Lytechinus pictus: one gene and its partner. The protein of the gene in region 2 binds, or shares a complex with, the protein of the main gene of each other region. Links are inferred from orthologs where the notes say so. Each region holds a gene or a part of one and is shown on either strand. Other genes may lie near its edges.

Region 1 (9,245 bases), on a different chromosome or scaffold from region 2:
TTTAAAGGATCATTTCAGCCAGTCAAGTTGAAATCTTAGCGAAAATGACGAAGCACAATTTCTTCTTTCAATATGCAACATGTTTACGCCCAAAAATTAGCACAACACGTGTGCACCCCAAAACGAGCATTTTCAATATCAATCGATTCAGATACATATAGTGGAATTTGGAAAAACTGTTTAAATTTTCAGATTCTACAGAATTTACTCTCCAAAGTACTATTGAAAGGTCAATTTTGAAAATTTTGGCCTAAGGACCATTTTGTTGCGTCGCAGCCCATACGTGTTCTTCCTTACCTTAAATCTAGAAGGCAATGACCTGATAAGCTTCACTCTAATGGCAAGTCCAATCAATGTAGCCATACTGCAATGAGGAATGGTGGGGGTGAAGGTCACTTTCACTACATTACCAGGATCATCAACCTGACAAAAAAAAACAAATGATCAGAAGAGAACAAACCTGTACATTCTGTACCTTTATTATTTTATGATTGAACATATACACACACATCAAGGCTCATCCAGACATGGTGCAACAATCCTTGGCAACATTCTGACATAGAAATACAAAGCAAGTGGGATATTAGGTGTTGAAAAAAATGTTAAAACAGAAAGATAATTTCTGAGGGAGGGTTGAAAGGTGGTTATTATATGAGGACCAATCATAGTCTATAAAAGAGTAAATGCAAATTACGACAAGTTAGTACAAATAATCTAAATAAACTAGACAAAGTTGTAAATTCATACTGCATGACTCGTAACATAATCATGAAATCACTGTGAGTTGTGACATCATAACACAAGTCAGAAAAGAATTCAGACATACCTCTAATTCAGCTTGCTGCACAACATTCAACTCTTCCAATGTCAGAGGATGCTCAGGGTCATTGATGTTTCTGATCAAATGTTAACATCTAGTCAAGGAAATTTGACATAGATCACAAAACCTGAGTACTCTTCAAGGTTTCTCTAATATACAAATAAACAGGAAATAAACCCAATGGCCCATATTCTGAAGTCAGATTTTATTTAAACTCTGGTCTAAAGTTGTTGTTTAAATACAGATGGCCAATTGTGACATCAATATCTCAAAGTAGAGGTTTAACTCATCAGCCAATTTGACTCTGAAATTGTTCTTGAAGGTCAAGTCCACCTCAGGAAAATGTTGATCTCTAATCTATGCATAGAATTTGTCAAATCGTATGTTTCAGTTTCAAAGATTTATTTTTGATGATATTTGGAATCGTAGAAGGGCTTATAATTATCATCATTTTACAAAGACCACCGTTATGGTTTACTTTCGTAAACTATTAAAATTTGATGTCCCAGGGGTACCCATCTCAACGTCCACCAGTGGCGTACCTGGGATTTTTCACAGGGGGGGCAAAACCGTCCGCCAAAAAATTTGACAAGCAAAAAAAAAAAAAAAAAAAGGTCTTCAATCACAAATGAAGGATTTCGTACCAGAAAAAAATTTGACAAGCAAAAAAAAAAAAAAAAAAAAAAAAAGGGTCTTCAAGCTCGTCAGGGGGGGGGGGGGCAATAAAGGTCTTCAAGCTCGTCAGGGGGGGCAGACTGCCCCCTCTGCCCCCCCCCCCCGTAGGTATGCTAGTGACGTCCACATGTGATTTTCTAGTCATGAAATTATTTATTCATAATTTAATTTTCTCAGCAATTGAATGCTCCAACCTTCATGGTCTAAATATGTATGATGCATAATTTACATGTGCTATTATTTTGAAAAGATGTATTTCCCAATTCATCGAAATATTTGCAATTTTGTCATAATTTTTCTTTTTGAAAAATATGCTATTTTGTGACTAAGGCTACGTCTCGTCTGCTCTTTTTACCGATAGTAGTGTGATGTGTTGTGATTGTTTCAATGTCGAACCGGGGCCCATGGATGTGTTGGACTGGCACCGTGCTCGAGGCATTTCCCCCCTCGGCACCAGGTAAAGTTTTCAGTGCAGCTGCCCTTGCAGGGTATCATATTGTTCTGGGTTAGTATTAGGTCTTTGTGTAATTTTTGCTTTGTATATTATTTAATGCCATTATTTTTGTAATTATTTATTATATGTTATATATTGTTCTTTGTATACCAACAGCCGGAATATGATTTTTGTGCCAATGTAATTTTTATTTTGAGCATGACAATAAATTTTGAATATCTGATCTGAATATCTGATATCAAGGTATTCTAGTTAGGAAGCCTTTCGAGAAACAGGTTTAGTAAGATTGGAACTATCTCCGTGGTTGGTGGATAAAGATATGACTAACTTGTCCAGGTGTTGAGAAACAGGCCCCAGGTGAATACAAAAATTATTCCCTGGTTACTAATGAAAAATAAATTGCAACTGTATGGAAATTAGTAATTTTGGTCACAAAAGTGAAAATTTAATGATTTTTTAAATTGTGTGCTGTGTACAGCATTGGCATACCATAGTTCTACCTGTAGATTCCCCACAGGCAGGATGGTTGCAGTGAACAAGTGATTTATGGTAAAAAGTTCGGTGAATTACACGAGAATAATGTGTTTGATATGATTGAATTCATGAAGTGTTTGGTAATACGATCCACAACCATATATGTCTAAATATTAATAAAACATCTTCTTCTTCTTTAAAGGACATGTCCACCCCAACAAAAACTTGATTTGAATAAAAAGAGAAAAATTTAACAAGCATAACACTGAAAATTTCATCAAAATTGGATGTCACGGTAAAATAAGAAAGTTATGGCATTTTAAAGTTTTGCTTCATTTTACAAAACAGTTATATGCACATCTCCGTCGGTATGCAAATGAGGAACTGATGACATCACTCACTATTTCTTTTGTATTTTATTATATGAAATATTTTTATTTTCTCGTCATTGTCATGTGAAATTAAGTTTCATTCCTCCCTGAACACGTGGAATTCCATTATTTTAACATTTTGTGCTTCAGGCAAGGTCCTAATCGTCAAATTCGTAAAAATTGAAATATTGTATAATTCAAACAATAAAAAACAAAAGAAATAGTGAGTGACAACATCGACTCTCTCATTTGGATGTAACTGGCTCGTTCATATAGGCCTAGGCCTAACTATTTTGTAAACATGGTAAAAAATAAGCAAAACTTTGAAATGTCATAACTTTCTTATTTTACATCCGATTTTGATGAAATTTTCAGCATTGTGCTTGTCTGATTTTCTCTATTGATTCAAATCAACATTTTTCTGAGGTGGACTTGACCTTTAAAGTTTAAATTCAAGACTAGATGGATGCCCATCATCAGTAGAGGCGCACAGCCAATATTGGAGACTGTCTCCAATGTGGGAGATTATCTCCAATAATATCAGAGACTTTTGTAAAGAATTTGGGTATCCAATTTCAGGGCAGCCAATTTCAGAGACAGTCTCCAGTTTTGGAGTCCAATTTCCTTTGTTTACATTTGCTGCAAAAGGATTAACTTGGCGGCAAATAAAAATGTGATAAGCAGATTCCTCATGAAAAATTACCCCTTTTCACCATCTACTTTAAAAATTCACCGTCTACTTTTGTTTTGATAAGGATATTTGTTGTCAATCACACACAAAACAAATGGGCTTCTGACCTCAGTGAGACAACATTTTGGGTGGAAAAAATTATGCTTTTGTTGTTGTTGTTTCTTTTGTCCTTTGCAAAGCAAGTCTCCAATGTGGGAGATTGTCTCTCTAGTAATAGAGTCTCCCATATTGGCCTAACCCAGAGAGCTCCCGCCCGCGCGGACGGGAGCTCTCTGGGTTAATATTGGCCGTGCGCCACGCCTCTACTGATCATAATATTATTGAAATAATTAAAGGATATCAAACACTTCTCTTGTGTCGATGGCATCGTCGATATCATCATCTTCTTCGGCTGGTAGAATGTGTCTTTTATCAAGCTTTCCATGAATCGTGGGGTTGACATTATCCAGTTGTTCACGCCCCGACATCTTAAGGTTTGAAGAAGGAACGACACCTCGACGACCCACGTACCCGAATATTCGCCGTCCGGCCCGGTATGCACGGCCGGTGGTGCGGTAGTACGTCAGGCCGGTACGTACGCGGCCGGTACAGAGCAAAGACCTTATAATATATTACTAGACCGAAAGCTGCGTGCGCGTTCAGCACAAAACAAATGAGATTAGGCTCCGCCTACCGCGATCATTTGAAGACAAAAATAAGCCCTCATTGACATTCATGAGCATGAAGATATTCATAATCCGGCCTTTTCATTGGCTAAGAGCGTCATTAATACGCGATTTCCCCGATTCCTTGTCATCGATACTAGTGGTATCGTGTTACAGAAATAATTATTCATTTGACCTCATTACGTCATCTAATTTATTCATTCTGAAACTTTTCTTTCCACACACAAAATGGACCTACGAACACTCCGGTGAGTACGTATAAATTGATATAACCACATGAATTCAGTGGACTATTTACACATTTCACACTGTATTTTGTGATCTTAGGTTATTTCTTTAACAAATTAGAGAGTTTGCTATCATTCTTCTGTTAAAGGAAAGCAGAATTTGGTCTTTGAAATTGAAGTTAGATTGTCATCGTCGCACAGTGCAGCCAGTATGTTGCTTGCAGTGTATTTTGTACGGGCTCCTAGCCGGCTGGGAATCGAGAGATAATCGGGCTGGTTTGGTTCACCTCCAACAAGGACCAACCCACGATTGATTAAAACAAGAAGAATGAGGCTTCTTTTTGTACACTGTAACGTTAGATCTAGAGGGAGATCTGCATCTGTCTTCAGTAGATCGAGACTCAGTCAGGAATAAACTGTGAAGCGGAGTGTGGATGAAGATACGCCTGTCATTGACATTGTGTCAGTCCTCACTTTCAGATATCAAATTTATTTTGCATAACTTCAGGCTTCTGCATTTAGCCCCCACCATTTTAACTCTTATTGTTATTTAACCCAGAGAGCTCCCGCCCGCGCAGCGGGCGGGAGCCCAGAAGCTTACCGTGTATTTTACCATTGTCACCGGACTAGGGTGATTTATGGTCTAAATATTTCTCCAAATGAATTGTGAAAACAGAAAGTATACAATTACCACGATTATATGGATGAAGGTCTAACGAGTGGCAGATTCCTGACATCTGGGCACAGTCTGGAACCTCAAAAAAACGAAAAGTTCTCTCCTTCTACCCCGTCTCGATCGGCCATTTTTGTTAAAAATCGTAACAAAATGGCCGATCGAGACTGGGTAGAAGGAGAGAACTTTTCGTTTTTTTGAGGTACCAGACTGTGCCCAGATGTCAGGAATCTGTCACTCGTTAGACCTTCATCCATATAATCGTGGTAATTGTATACTTTCCGTTTTCACAATTCATTTGGAGAAATATTTAGACCATAAATCACCCTAGTCCGGTGACAATGGTAAAATACACGGTAAGCTTCTGGGCTCCCGCCCGCTGCGCGGGCGGGAGCTCTCTGGGTTAATTGTTATTCATAAATTTATAGACTCGGTCTTAGAAATAACATGCTGCTCTGCATGTTTGTCTTATTATCAATAGATCTATGACCTAGATCTTCTTAATCCTAGGCCCTACTTACTTCATGTTTATACTTAGATCTAGGCTACTTTACTTTTATTTATTCATCGATGCTATCATTTTATCAAGAGCTAGGCCTACCTAATTAAAATCTAGTCTAACTTATACTTTCCCAACCCTCGATACTTGCCCCCAGGGCTTATGATCTAGGTCTGTAATTTAGGCCTAGATCTAGGTCTGGGCCTAAACGACTCCATTTACATGTACGAGTATGACTGTCAGTGGACCAAGGAGTCGGACTAGATCTAGATCTACTCTCGGTCAATAATGGCAATGAAGTCTTAGCCAGGAATAAAAGTCAAAGTCAGACATCAAAAATTTCTAAACCGATATAGGGTTTAGAACCGAAGCTTTACTTTCTAGGTCTAGATAGATCGAGAGTCCATCGTTAGTCTAGATCTAGACCTAATTTAGATACATGAATGCTGTCGCACAGCATTGAGTCTCGTTGGACTAGATCTATACTTTCTTACAAATAGATCTAGACCTAGTGCATGAGATTATGAAATTATGTTAAAGTCTAATGAAATAAGATTCGGAAATAAAAAGATCCAGATTTTTTTTTTTGGGGGGGGGGGGCAGACATGTGAAAAAATTTAGAGAAACCTAAAATTCAGAAAGCGAGGGCCAGAAGCGACCAATATTACCTAGGGCCGTTTTGTGCATTTTCTAAAGTAAAATTGAAGGATGTCATGCAATTCTCTTTTTGATGAAGGTTTTCACATTTCTGATTTCAGCTCTTACCCAAACCCCTCCCCCTATACATACGGCCATGAAAAAGATCATTTCTTATTATTGTTCTCTCTCTTTCACAAACAGGTTGAGTTTGAAGAACAAGAAAAACAGTAGAGGTCTACCTATATGGTTCAAGATGATGATCATAAGTGCATGCATCATTTTGCAGATTCTCATCCAGGTATAAAACTTAAACTAACCCATACAAAATTACAGATACATTGCATATGCATTGAATGTTAACCATGTTTACATTAAATAAAAATAATCTGAGCTACAAAGAGGTAGGATCTGTAATGAATATACACTTCTTAATATACAGGCTCTCGAGTCTAAAATAGAACCAATGCCAAAAGTTATGTACCTTGGACAAATTTATAAAATAAGGTCATGTCCTTGATCTACTAGTAATTAAATGGCCTTTTTATTTCCTATTTGTTTATAAACAAAGTGTAGGGATTGATTTTGTACTTATATTTCTTTCCACTCTTATCCAGGAATCATCCCCTTTTTCTAATAGAACATCCCTCATTTATATTCACCCTTTTCATCCTAACTTCCTATTCTTCATGTATAGCTCTCTCTTACACATTAACTGCTGTACACTCTGTACACAAGGTTGTTTGGTATTAATTCACTCCACCATCCTTCATACAGCTTTCTTCACTCCTCTCTCTCTCTCTCACTCTCCTTCTGATTGGTTATAATGTTAAGTTGATGCACTCAAGCTTAAATAATAATTTGCATATAGTTTGAATGGTCAATATATATCCTTTGTTTGTATATTTGAATATTCAGTTATACTTTGTTATATTGATTTACATTTATATGAATATTGATGTGCCTTAAGTAATTTGCATGGAATGTTACAAAGAATGCAACAAGGCTTTGAGTCATTAAAATCTGGGAGTTGGCCAGTAAGTTATCAACCTGACAACATGTCTGCTGGGCTGCCTCTGTGTTAAGAGTACTAGAAATGAGATATTGTCAGAACCCCGTACTACACAAAGCAATATTTATTTTTCATATTTTACAAAATTCATTTCATGCATTCTTTAGTGTGATATTCATATTTCATATTTGTAGATTTACGATTTTTTTTAAATCTTGTTATTTTACATTTTGTCCAATAGGATGATGCAGTTTTACAATTTCCATGGAGGTGATTGATGATGATAAACAATTGGTGAAGTAGGCCTAATAGAACAGTGATAGGACCACAAAGAGAAATACAACCTACAGCAGTTATATGAGTGAGTTAATAAGTGATTATTTTTAATAATGGGGGGTTTTCACAATATTTTTAGGCAACAAATAGACCTGCCTTTGAAAAAAACATTTCAATTCTGTTTTTAGGTTATAGATAGGTGTCGTTTTTATTCGCAGATCAAAATATTCTGTGCAACAAAACATCATCTTTAATTCTGACTATTATATATAATTTATATGTTAATTCATATATTCATATTTATGGGAAATCTCTGACATTTTTTTTATATAGTACATGTAGTTATAATGGAGAGTGGTATGCAAACTGCATAGAACAGGTTTAAGTGATATGCTTTGTAGAAGTACAAGTTTATAATTAGTAGAAGTAAGATTTCCTATGTTATGTGATGAAGAAATTTATATACCGGTATGTATAGTCTTACTTTTCTTCAAACATTTATGTTTTACAAATCATGACAATTTTAATTTAAATTCATTGATTTTCTTTCTCTATTTTTTCAATCTGCAGGACTGGTGTAACAGATGTTTTCATTCAAGAAACCCAACAAATTGAAGAGTGACTTAGCTTAGGAAGCACTTGATAAAGATGGAAAAGGTTTTTTTTTTTAATTATCATCACAACCCCAAATTCATGAAGTATGAAATTTCCTGTCGATTTTCATTAAAACTGGTTGCAAAAGGAAAAGCTATAAACATACAAATAGGAGCGGCGAAGTGAAGTTGAAAGTGGGGGGGGGCACAGGGAAAATGCTGTATTATGTGAAATTTTAAAGAAGTTGCGAGAGAGCAAAATTTTGACATTTTTAAAAAGAAAATCCAATTTTGTGATAGATTTCGACAAAATATTCAGAATGATATATTTCACCCTTTTTTTTGGGGGGGGGGGCAAGAGTCCTTCAAGCCCCCCCCCCCTCCATCTGTAGTGTACGAAACTGCTTATCTACCCCCACTCACATGAATTATTAAACTTAATGCACAAAGGATTTCCTTATTGTTTTCTTGTTTCAAAGGGCACTCGTCATTCTTTAGGAGCACTTTTCTTGGATAAAAGGGGGCAGTTATTAGAGAAAGGGCACTTACAAGAAGGCGAGGGGGTACTTTTTAACACTTAAAACGGGCCCTCAGATGAAAGGGCACAGAACACGTTCGGGGGGCATTTTTGGTAAAAATTTGCATACAAGGAAGAGCACTTGGTAACACCTAAAACAGGTTCTCGTCAGGTGAAAGGGACACAGTACACGTTCGTGAGGGGGCATTTTTCTTACATAAAATTAAAGGCACTTTTCAGTGCTTTAAAAAGTAGGGGGAACTGTGCCCCCCAGGATCGCTGCCCCTGCATACAAAAAACATTTTTCGTTCGATTCAAAGTATTAACATACGCTTAAGAAAAAAAGTAAGGCTAAATCCTCTGATAATGTGATATTTTTTTTGGCTATTAATAAAATTCACAACTAACCATAAAATGCCTTCATGTCTTTCATTTGTATAGTATTTGTACAGAGCTAAAATGAAAGGGATTTGGAATTGGCAAAATTCAAATGAGATGGAGATCGAGAGAGAGAAAGAGTGATGAGAAGGGGGTTGAAAAGAGATGAGAAAGAAATGGAGGGGCACATATGAAGAGATAATTTAGAGGGGGGGTAAGAGAGCACGAATGGTGGGAAGTAGGAACAAAGGGGTGGAAGAGAAATAAGACGAGATTTATGGAAA
Region 2 (9,320 bases):
TATAGGCTTTTGGATCAGGAACAAGTCAAGCCACACCAAAGACTTTATGAATAGGACATCCTTTCCTTCTAGTCAGGCACTCAGGATGTTAGAGTGGGGGATTACTTTGAATTGCCTGCAAGAGCTTTTCACAGTTGTCCAAGTTATGAAGACAACTACTATTACATTATCTGGGAACAGAGATATTGGTAAGTAGATTTCTTCCTTGATTGAATGCAAATGTAAAATTTAGGTCTGAATTTGGTTCAATAAATGCCCACACAAATCATAATTAGTTTTCATTCTGTCTTGCTATTAACAAGCAAAGAGATCAGACATAACAGTTAGCACACAGCTTGCTCTTTGCCATGAAAAGCAAAACACAGTTCCCATGATCTTTCTCACAACTTTTCATTGTTTTTGCTTTTTACACTTTCCTAAATTACAATTTGTGCGAATTAGGCCTTTCCTGTAACAGGAAAAGCATGTAGGCAACCACAAGGATAGAGCTGGGCCCTGTGATATAAAGAGATACGACTAATATTGCAACCACTTGTATTGACCATAGAATTAAAGTTATCCATAATTGTTCAATCAATCTTATCTCTTATGTTGCTAGGCCATGTTTGTATATATACCTTCAGGATTTCCTGGCTGATATTCCTGCCAGATCTTGACGGTCTTGTCATCGCTGCAAGAAGCCAGCCTGGAACCGGTCTTATCGAAGCTGATGGCCCATACCGTCGACTCGTGACCGTCGAGGGTCTCAAAGCTGCTCCAGTCATCGTCTTCCTCGTGGAACAACCGGATAGTGTTGTCATAGCTACAGGATGCCAAGATCTATGTGGTAAAGATAAACATGAACAGATGGAGAGAAAGTGAAAAACAAAGCATTGTGAGAAGAGGACAGGGAAGAACAAAAATTTGAGGGAATAAGGTAAGAGAGAAATAAAAGAATAACTATGTATACTCAGGGTTTCCACAGAAATTTGAAAACAGAATTCCATGACTTTTCCATGACTAAATTGCTGCTTTCCATGACTTCCTGTGACGTCCCGGGAGTAATGTAGATTTTGGGATGTCACAAAACTGGGAAAAATGGAAATCATGAGCACCAATTATAATAGCATAGTATGAGAGTTGCGAAACACGACAAACTGGAAAACTGCCATAGCCAAGAGGTAAATGCAATTCCATGACTTTTCACAAATTTCCCAAAGTCCCTGACTTTCCATGACCACAAATTTTTCCACGATTTTTCATGACTGTGGAACCCTGATACTGTTGAGAGACAGAACACATTAAAGGTGAAGAAAATTCAAATTATACTAAATTGTAACTCAATAGAAATAAAACTACATAATTACTATCATTGTTTAAGAAAGGCAATTATTGACTCAATGACTTACATATCCTTTCATGATGCAATCTTGTATGAGTTTACGGGATATTTTCTTATATATACCTGTATGATTATTCATTTTCTATTCCATAAGAGTGTCAATACTAATTATGGTATCTTAAAATTATAACAAGTTACATATCTAAGGGAAAAATGCAGTCTGATAGTTATGAACAGGTGTATTGATTATTCAGAATGCATATATCGTACCTCACGTCCAGGCTGCCAGGCGATATGCTTCACATCTTGAGTATGAATGCTGAGTACACTGGCACATTGGTAATCATCGTCTTCTTGGTCAACTGCAAATTAGTCATTCAAATATAAAATAAAAACACAAAACAAAATAATACCATATCGATAGCTCCCCCGATCATATGTCCAAGCTTTTTCAAAAGTTAATCAGAACAGTTAATTCAGAAGGATTTATGAACATCCACAAGAAGGCTATTGCAGTAAGTATGCTTTTCTTAATAGTCTATCAAATAATCTACATGTATGATCCAATTTTTCTACACCTTGGAACAATACCTATAGAAGTAGGCATTTAAAAATCATAATTGATATAATAATTCATCGAATGGTAATATGGATCCTCATCAAACGATTGGCTGAAATCAATCACATGGCCATTCATCAGTAGCTAACAAGATAATTTGACAAGTTCTATTGACCAGTCATGGTTTTGCAATGAGGATGGTTCATCAAATAACAAGGATCAAACATCACTATCCAGGGGTGGATCCAGGATTTTCCAAAAGGGGGGGGGGCATATTTTCCAGAGGAAAAATTTGACAAGCTGAAAAAAAGAAAGAAAAAAAAGAAGAGTTTGACAAGCAAAAAAAAAAAGAAAAAAAAGTAAAAGGTCTTCACTTTCAAAGGGCGGGGGTACACTTCTGTTTTAACAGCATTTTCACATTACAAATTTTAATTGTGCTTCTCAAAAGGGGGCACCGGCCGGCTTTGCACCCCCCCTGGAACTGCCAGTGTCACTATCTCACAAAACATAATCCCATAATACACATGATTTTGCTTGGACATGAGAATAATTACACTTGTTACATCTGAAACAGACCAAATAATAATTATGGGGCTCTGGCGTTTTATTCTAACACATGCCCTTGATGATGTGTGTTGTACTGTCAATGCTTACCTTCCCAGATCCAAACACTTTTGTCCCTGCTGCACGTTGATAAGAGTGAGCCAGACTGTGACCAAGCAACACTCTTCACCTCATTCTCATGGCCCTCTAGGGTGGCGCTGCACTCAAACTCTCCGCTGCGACGATCCCAGATGCAGGTCTGGGCATCAAAGCCTGCCGAGGCCAGCAGCTGACCGCAGGGTGACCAGGCAACACGTCGGATGGTCCTTGTGTGGCCATCCTGGAGGATCTTCTTACAGACCCAATTATCACCTTGTGAGAGAACACAATAATCATTATTGTCATGATAATAAAGTGTTTAATGGAGTAATGAACTAGAACTCTCAGTATAAGACAGATAAAAACAGCTTCCAGCAGATTTTCTGTATTTTTTTAATGCAAATAGAGTCTCGTCACTTAATGCAAAAGAAGAAAAAAAACACTACCGTATGGGTACTAGTATTCAACCCGGCATAATTCAAAGATTTTGACATATTCCCCAAAATATTTAGAAATAGGGAATTTATCTTACTTTCATACCTTTGTTATTTCCAGGGTAATCTGTTGTCGATATTTTCTTTGTCAATCTGTCGACTGTATGCGCGGAGGATCGAATTATGCGGCGATGGCCTTTTGCACTGAATGGTACTAGTATTCAACCTAGTGAGGATTGATAGCAAATCTCAAAAGGGTTTAGATTGCTAAATTAGATGTAGATCTATGTAAGTCTCTGGCTTTGATTAATTCCCCGTTTGGTCTCATCTCAAATGGTCTAGTCCATAGTCGGATGGGACAAGGGCAGATTGAGAGACAGGGCCATCTTTCATCGCTAGGTTGAATACTAGTACCGACGGGTTGAATACTAGTACCAAAATTCGTCGCCGTATAATTCGATCGCCCGCGCACACAGTCAACTGGTTGAAGAAAAAAATAACGGAAAAAGAATCACCAGCATTTGCTCTTGGAAATAAGACGGGTCTGAAATTCAGGTAAATTCTATATTTCTATATATTTTAGGAAACTCTCCAAACGGGTTGAATACTAGTGCCCTTACGGTACCGGTACAAAAAGATTTTAAAAAAAAAGTAAATTAGGAGTCTATATATTACAAAGAGCAAGAAAGTTATTGGTGTAAATAATTTTCATAACGAGTAGACGTAGGGGTCTACAATCTACTTGAGTCTAGGCCCGCCCTAACATTAGACCCAACTTAGATATCGAACTTGTTAACGTTAGATCTAACGACAACGTTAGATCTAACTTTCGTTTAATTTAAGGCTAAATGACGCACGTGAGCGCCTAACGAAGTCAGACTAACTTTAAGTTTTTAAGTTTTAACTTTAACCATGTTCTAATGTTAAACTTGTTAGGCTCCGCCATTTCAAAAATCTTTGTAAACAAGGCACAAGTGCACACATTATTAGCAAGAATCATTCCCTATAGATCTACTTAGCATTCAATTCTTTGATCGGGAATTATCTACCTTCTTTGCCCCAGATTCTGACCGTCTTGTCACCTCCACAGCTCGCCAGAAGTGTCCCGGTCGGATTCCACGAAACGCACCAAACGCGGTCGTGATGACCAGACAATGTTGAAATCGGCTGCAAATTTCCATCCATTTGGTTCATTGACTGTTTTACAGGTCCTTTCCACTCCTGATCCTTTAGGGAGAATAAATAGATCGTTAAAGTTATCAATAATTGGGAGTTGTTTTTCTTCTATTTCGGCTGGTTGCATATGCACATCACAAACTTTCCGGTGTGTAGCGCCATCTCGCGACATTTATAAAAAATTGAAAATCCGGGAAGATTAAATTTGGAAATGACAGAACATAACATTTCAGGATCATCTCTGCAAATCGTCTTTAACCAGCTTAAGGATGTTTTGACTGCACAGAAGAAACTAGTGGACCGTAAATATTCAAATGTGAGTTAAATAACCAACCGACTTCAATCAAAAATACAAAGGAGAGCGAAAGAGGGCGAAAGAGATCCATTCCAAGCCGAGCGCGCGCCGCTACGTCTGCGACGGATGCTCATGCTCCCCGCGGGCCGGTGCGGTGGCGTGATGAGTCAGGCCAGGGCCGAGAGCGAGAGCAAGGTGGTAGTGTAGATCAAAACAAGCTTCGGTCTCTGTTAAATTGGTTGTTCTGCTGGGGCCTGTTGCATGAAAGGGTCTTTCGTAGAACCATTCTACGTAAGAACGAGATATCGCTCAACTGTTTAACAAAGCCGATTTGGGCGATTACGAAGAATGGTCCTTGGAAAGACACCTCCAGAGGACCAGACATGTCCTACGACGAGGCATGATCTTCTTTGCACACCGCCCGCCACCGTCGGCATTGAGAGAAAATGCATTTACGGCAAGCCACACTGACATATCACCTCTAAACATTTTTTTGGTTGCACTCTGATGCATTTTATCTGGGTGGGATGGCGCCAAGTTATTTTTTATATGGGGGCTGGTTGTCATCAATTTCAGGTCGTCTTTTTGCACGGCAGGACGACCAAAAACGGATGTCATTTTAACTTCTCCGGGGTACATGTATTATTCCCGGGGGTAATGTATAGTAGCCAGGCGGCTTCTTGAGAGTAAAAATCATTTACTAACGTAGGCTTACTCTCCATGAAGCCAGGGAGTCCTTCCTATTCATCTGCGTGTACCGCAAAAAACCCTGAAACTTTCGCCCCCGATCGGCGATCCGAAGAGAGCCTGAGGCTATTTTTCCATTAAAGAATATTGATGAGAATCATAATGTAGGCCATGATACATGTATATATTTCCATAACTAATAAATTTAGCTAGTTTTTGTTATTTTGGGGGAAATATAGTCCTTTGCAAATCGGACTTTTGAGTTTGATCATTACAAGAAAGGGGGGGGGGGGGGTTAGACCAAAAGCTTCAGTCTCTGTATTTTGGTTGTTCCGCTGAACTGTGTTGGCTCCACTCACCAATACATAGACTGAAGAGTTGTTGGCAGTATTAGCAGTAACATTAGATCTAACATTCGGCGGAAACCCGATTTTTGGATTGTTTTTTTTTTACATAAAATGTCACATTATAAAAAAGAAAGTACATTCAAACTTAGCAAAAAATTAAATCTGTGGTAATTCTTACAGCTATAGACAGCACATCTTTCTCTGCCACCCATAATTAAGAAGAAAAGTGATGTTAGACTCTGGAACAAATATGACGAGGCGTTTACTGGAAGTTAGCAAAATGTTGGCTGCGGCGTTGATCCTATTTTGATATACTATGGAAATCGTCCACTTTATTGTCGGCTGCTTGCGTTCGCATGTCCGCATCCGGACAATAGCGGCGCTATTGCTCCCTTTTTGATCCCATGATCCTTTTCGTGAATCTATTTGCGATAAGGTCTATCCTGGTTTAAGTCACCACTCCATTCACTGCCGTTCATTTTGTAAGCGGTGGTGAATTCTTTCATCTCCCATTGACTTTGTACACAGCGAGCGCACACACACTGACACACACGAGAAGAGAGGTGACATATTTCAGGATAAGGCCTAATAATCTTTATTTTGGTCCAGTTCTTTTTATATATTTTTATGATATAAAGACAAAAATCGATGAGCCCCGTCCACTCAAGGGTTCATTACATGCCGCCACGCACATAAAAATCAAGCCATAGAAGTCGTGTGTTGTGGACACCAGAAGTGGGATCGCAGCACGCGCGACCCACTAGTTAGAAATCCACTGCCAAACGCGGTTCATGGTGCGAGGTTATAGTATACTAATACTAACCTCGCAATATGTGTGAGTGAGCCCCATCGGGGGGATTTTGCATTGTTAATGCCCTAATGGCGGCTGCACGATCGCGAGCCGACTATGTACGAGGAGAAATAAAAAATTAAAAAATGTTAAAAAACTCCTCGAAACAGACGGCTGCCAGCTGTCTAGGCGGTACAGTAGACTGCTGGCAGCCGTCTGTTTCTTAACATTTAATAAATTTTTTTAATTCTCCTCATACGCAGATGGCTCGCGATTGTGCAGCCACCATTACAGGGTTAACAATGCAAAATCCCCCCGACGGGGCTCATTGATTTTTGTCTTTTTTTTTCTTTAGACCCTATTTCATTGGTCTAGCCCTAAAAAGAAGATTATTAGAATTTAGATTCCATTTTGGCCTGAAATGCACCAAAACGGGAAAAAATAAACTTAAAAGGAAAAAAAAGAGTGACTTACTTCGGCTGTCGAGTAACTCCCACTGCTCTGGTTTATCCGAACTTAATACATGTAGTTCATAAACATATGGCCATTGAGTCCCTGTAACTACAGATCAAGTTAAGTTAGAACTTCGGTCTCTGTAATTGGTGAGTGCAAGAGCCAACGGAGTTCAGCGGAACAACCAATATAACAGAGACCGAAGCTTTTGGTCTAGGTGGTAGGGAGCCAGCATGACCATGCCTGGGCCTGTTTCATGACGAGATGAGCATAGTAGGGACGTCGAAGGACCATTCTTCCGAGATAGGAAGATTGGCGACAAATCAGCGCTTTCAGTTTCACGAAGGCAAATTTGTCATCCAATCCAACTTTGACATTGAATTGTTTGATTAGACTACCTGGTATAGGCCTAGACTACATGTATATACATCATTTAGTCACGACACGTTAAGTTAGATCTAAGTTAGTATCGTCAAAAAATTTTGTCTTCATCGCCACCTGAACCTAATTCAACCTATTACGGAATGACAACTTTTCATAAAATCGTATAGACCTATTTAATTTTCCATAAATGGAGATCAAAAAATTATGTATGTATTACAGATTGTGGAATTGATGTACATATGGAGATGTTGATATCCGGAGCTTACATGTACTTTATGAGGTGAAAAAAAAAGAGAAACAACTTTAAAGTTAAACTAGATCCACAAACATAATAACTGGATAAAATCGAAATTTTCATTATTTTCCTTATCTAGAACACATAGTCTTTTTAAGGACACCTTTCATTGATATACGAGAGAGACACTTGTTCGAAAATGAAAATGGAAGTAAATCAGTAATTTCGACATATTGAAATATTCTGAATTTTTATGAATACTTTAATATTTGAAGTGATAATTTTGCAAATTATGCTTTAAAAGTTATTTGTTGAGGTAAAAATAGGGTTTGAATCAAGTAAACAAAGTCAACGTGTCTGACTGTATGAGACTAAGAAGGAAAATATGAGAGGCTGCTTGTGAAAAATCTAATTTATTTATTTCAAACGTCAGGTATAATGCAAGAAATACAAATGTGATTTAATGTTTAGACTTGAGAGAAAATTGGGTATGAAAAGTAACCAAGGACAAAAAAAAATGTGAAACTTGCACAGATACAAACATGCCAAGTAGGTAAAGTAGCATGGCAATAATAAACAAAATAGAAAGATGTGTAAAATCAATATTTAGGCAGTGGAAAAATACTATTTAACAGAAAACAATGTTAAAAATTACGATGATCATAAATGTTGGTCATAAAGTTCATAACTTTATGGAAGTTTATATACAGAAAGTCAAAAAGGGGCCTAAGCTTTTGATCCTAGCAGAATCTTCGTCGGAGGCAAAATGACAAACATATAAAGTGGAACAACCATAATATAGACCACAAACAAGCTACAGCAACACTATAAACAAGGAGACAAAAGGGGCATTAGTGAGTAGAGAAGACCAATCAGGTTAGTGAAGGGGATGAAAGAAAAGGAGTAGGCAGACACAAAGGGAAGTTAGTATAAGTAAGGCCAGTAAAAGACCTCAAGCCAAGAGGGATTAAGATAATGAGGCAGGCAATATCAAACAGGATCTGGAACAAAACAGTGATAATGGGATGAATAACAAGAGAATTAGTGAGAGGTGGGTCAAACAGGTTACAAAGAAAGGCATAATAAACTGGTGCATAAGAGTGGGGGAAAAAAGGAAAAGAATGGGGAACAACTGATAATGTGCAAAAGACATATAAGTATATATGATAAAGCATTAAACAAACTAAGAGAAGAAGGTAAGTGTAAATATGTATCTATAAGTGATATGTATAAAAATATATCCAAAAAAGAAATGTATATGAAAAAATATAAATAAACATATGGTGTAACTGATATTGTAATCCGCTAGGTGTGACAGGAAAAAAACATAAGACTATATAGTAGGAAAAAAAAAAAAAAAAAACCTGTATATGTGAAAAAGAGGAAGCAAATTGCCTAAAAAGGTAAAAGCAAATATAGAAGAGAAGGGGTGTATTATGAAGAAACCAAAGTATACATGTAAATAAGCAAATGTGGTAAATCTAAAAGAGGTGAGTGGAGAAAAAACAAATATATATATATAATAATTATTATATCGCCTGAATAAGGAAGGAAAATTTGGAGCTGAGCTTGTATGAGATATGGGAGGAAAGTAGAGGAAGAAACTATAATGTAACTATTCAAAAGAGCTGAGGGGAAAAATTATATGTATATATAAATTGAAAGTGGATAGGAAAGAAAAATCAGTCGTTCCCCTCTTGGATGTTCAGGCCATGAGGTTGGGTGGTGCGAAGTCGTCTCATCCAGAGCTTCTCCCTGCTAGTACGGACTGAGTCAGGACGGGTACCTAAAGATTCGATGCCCTGTAGCATCATGTCAGTGATGGAGTGGTTTATATACATGTAGAACATGAACTTCAAGAATATTAAAAAATATATATACATGTATATGTCAAACACTAAGTTAAGGAGTCGAGACATTATTTATTGCTTTTGACACCCTATGGCTTAAACTTTATGATGTCACAATCGTTAATATACAGTGTAATAATAAATATT

The links.
Region 1: the proteins of probable cytosolic iron-sulfur protein assembly protein CIAO1 homolog (region 2) and cytosolic iron-sulfur assembly component 2B-like are in contact, whole or in part, in a crystal structure (PDB 6TBN), measured with the Drosophila melanogaster proteins. The link is inferred for Lytechinus pictus from reciprocal best matches to the Drosophila melanogaster genes Ciao1 and galla-2. Residues at the interface, in NP_610996.1 of Drosophila melanogaster: Arg16, Trp18, Arg60, Thr61, Arg63, Phe79, Glu105, Lys107, Arg123, Asp150, Lys152, Tyr168, Asn170, Ser195, Thr196, Trp198, Thr216, Ser248, Gly249, Gln250, His251, Ser252, Arg253, Tyr256, Gly272, Asp273, Asp274, Arg277, Glu299, Gln304; in NP_648416.1 of Drosophila melanogaster: Ser74, Pro106, Lys109, Thr111, Ala124, Lys127, Gln128, Asp131, Lys132, Glu133, Arg134, Ala136, Ala137, Glu140.

Annotation. Positions count from the first base shown.
Region 1 is NC_087246.1:39,216,281-39,225,525, reverse strand, and holds the start of cytosolic iron-sulfur assembly component 2B-like, read right to left. Parts: upstream 4,032-9,245; 5' UTR 3,953-4,031; coding exon 3,826-3,952; intron 907-3,825; coding exon 827-906; intron 424-826; coding exon 298-423; intron 1-297. UniProt on the Drosophila melanogaster protein: Component of the crb-galla-Xpd (CGX) complex which is essential for proper mitotic chromosome segregation in early embryos. The CGX complex is also required for cell proliferation in developing wing disks.
Region 2 is NC_087256.1:15,792,824-15,802,143, forward strand, and holds the start of probable cytosolic iron-sulfur protein assembly protein CIAO1 homolog, read right to left. Parts: upstream 4,562-9,320; 5' UTR 4,449-4,561; coding exon of another isoform or gene 4,344-4,448; 5' UTR 4,151-4,343; coding exon 4,006-4,150; intron 2,796-4,005; coding exon 2,535-2,795; intron 1,684-2,534; coding exon 1,592-1,683; intron 820-1,591; coding exon 618-819; intron 1-617. Other genes in the region: spermatogenesis-associated protein 24-like, read left to right, coding at 4,344-4,448. UniProt on the Drosophila melanogaster protein: Essential component of the cytosolic iron-sulfur (Fe/S) protein assembly machinery. Required for the maturation of extramitochondrial Fe/S proteins.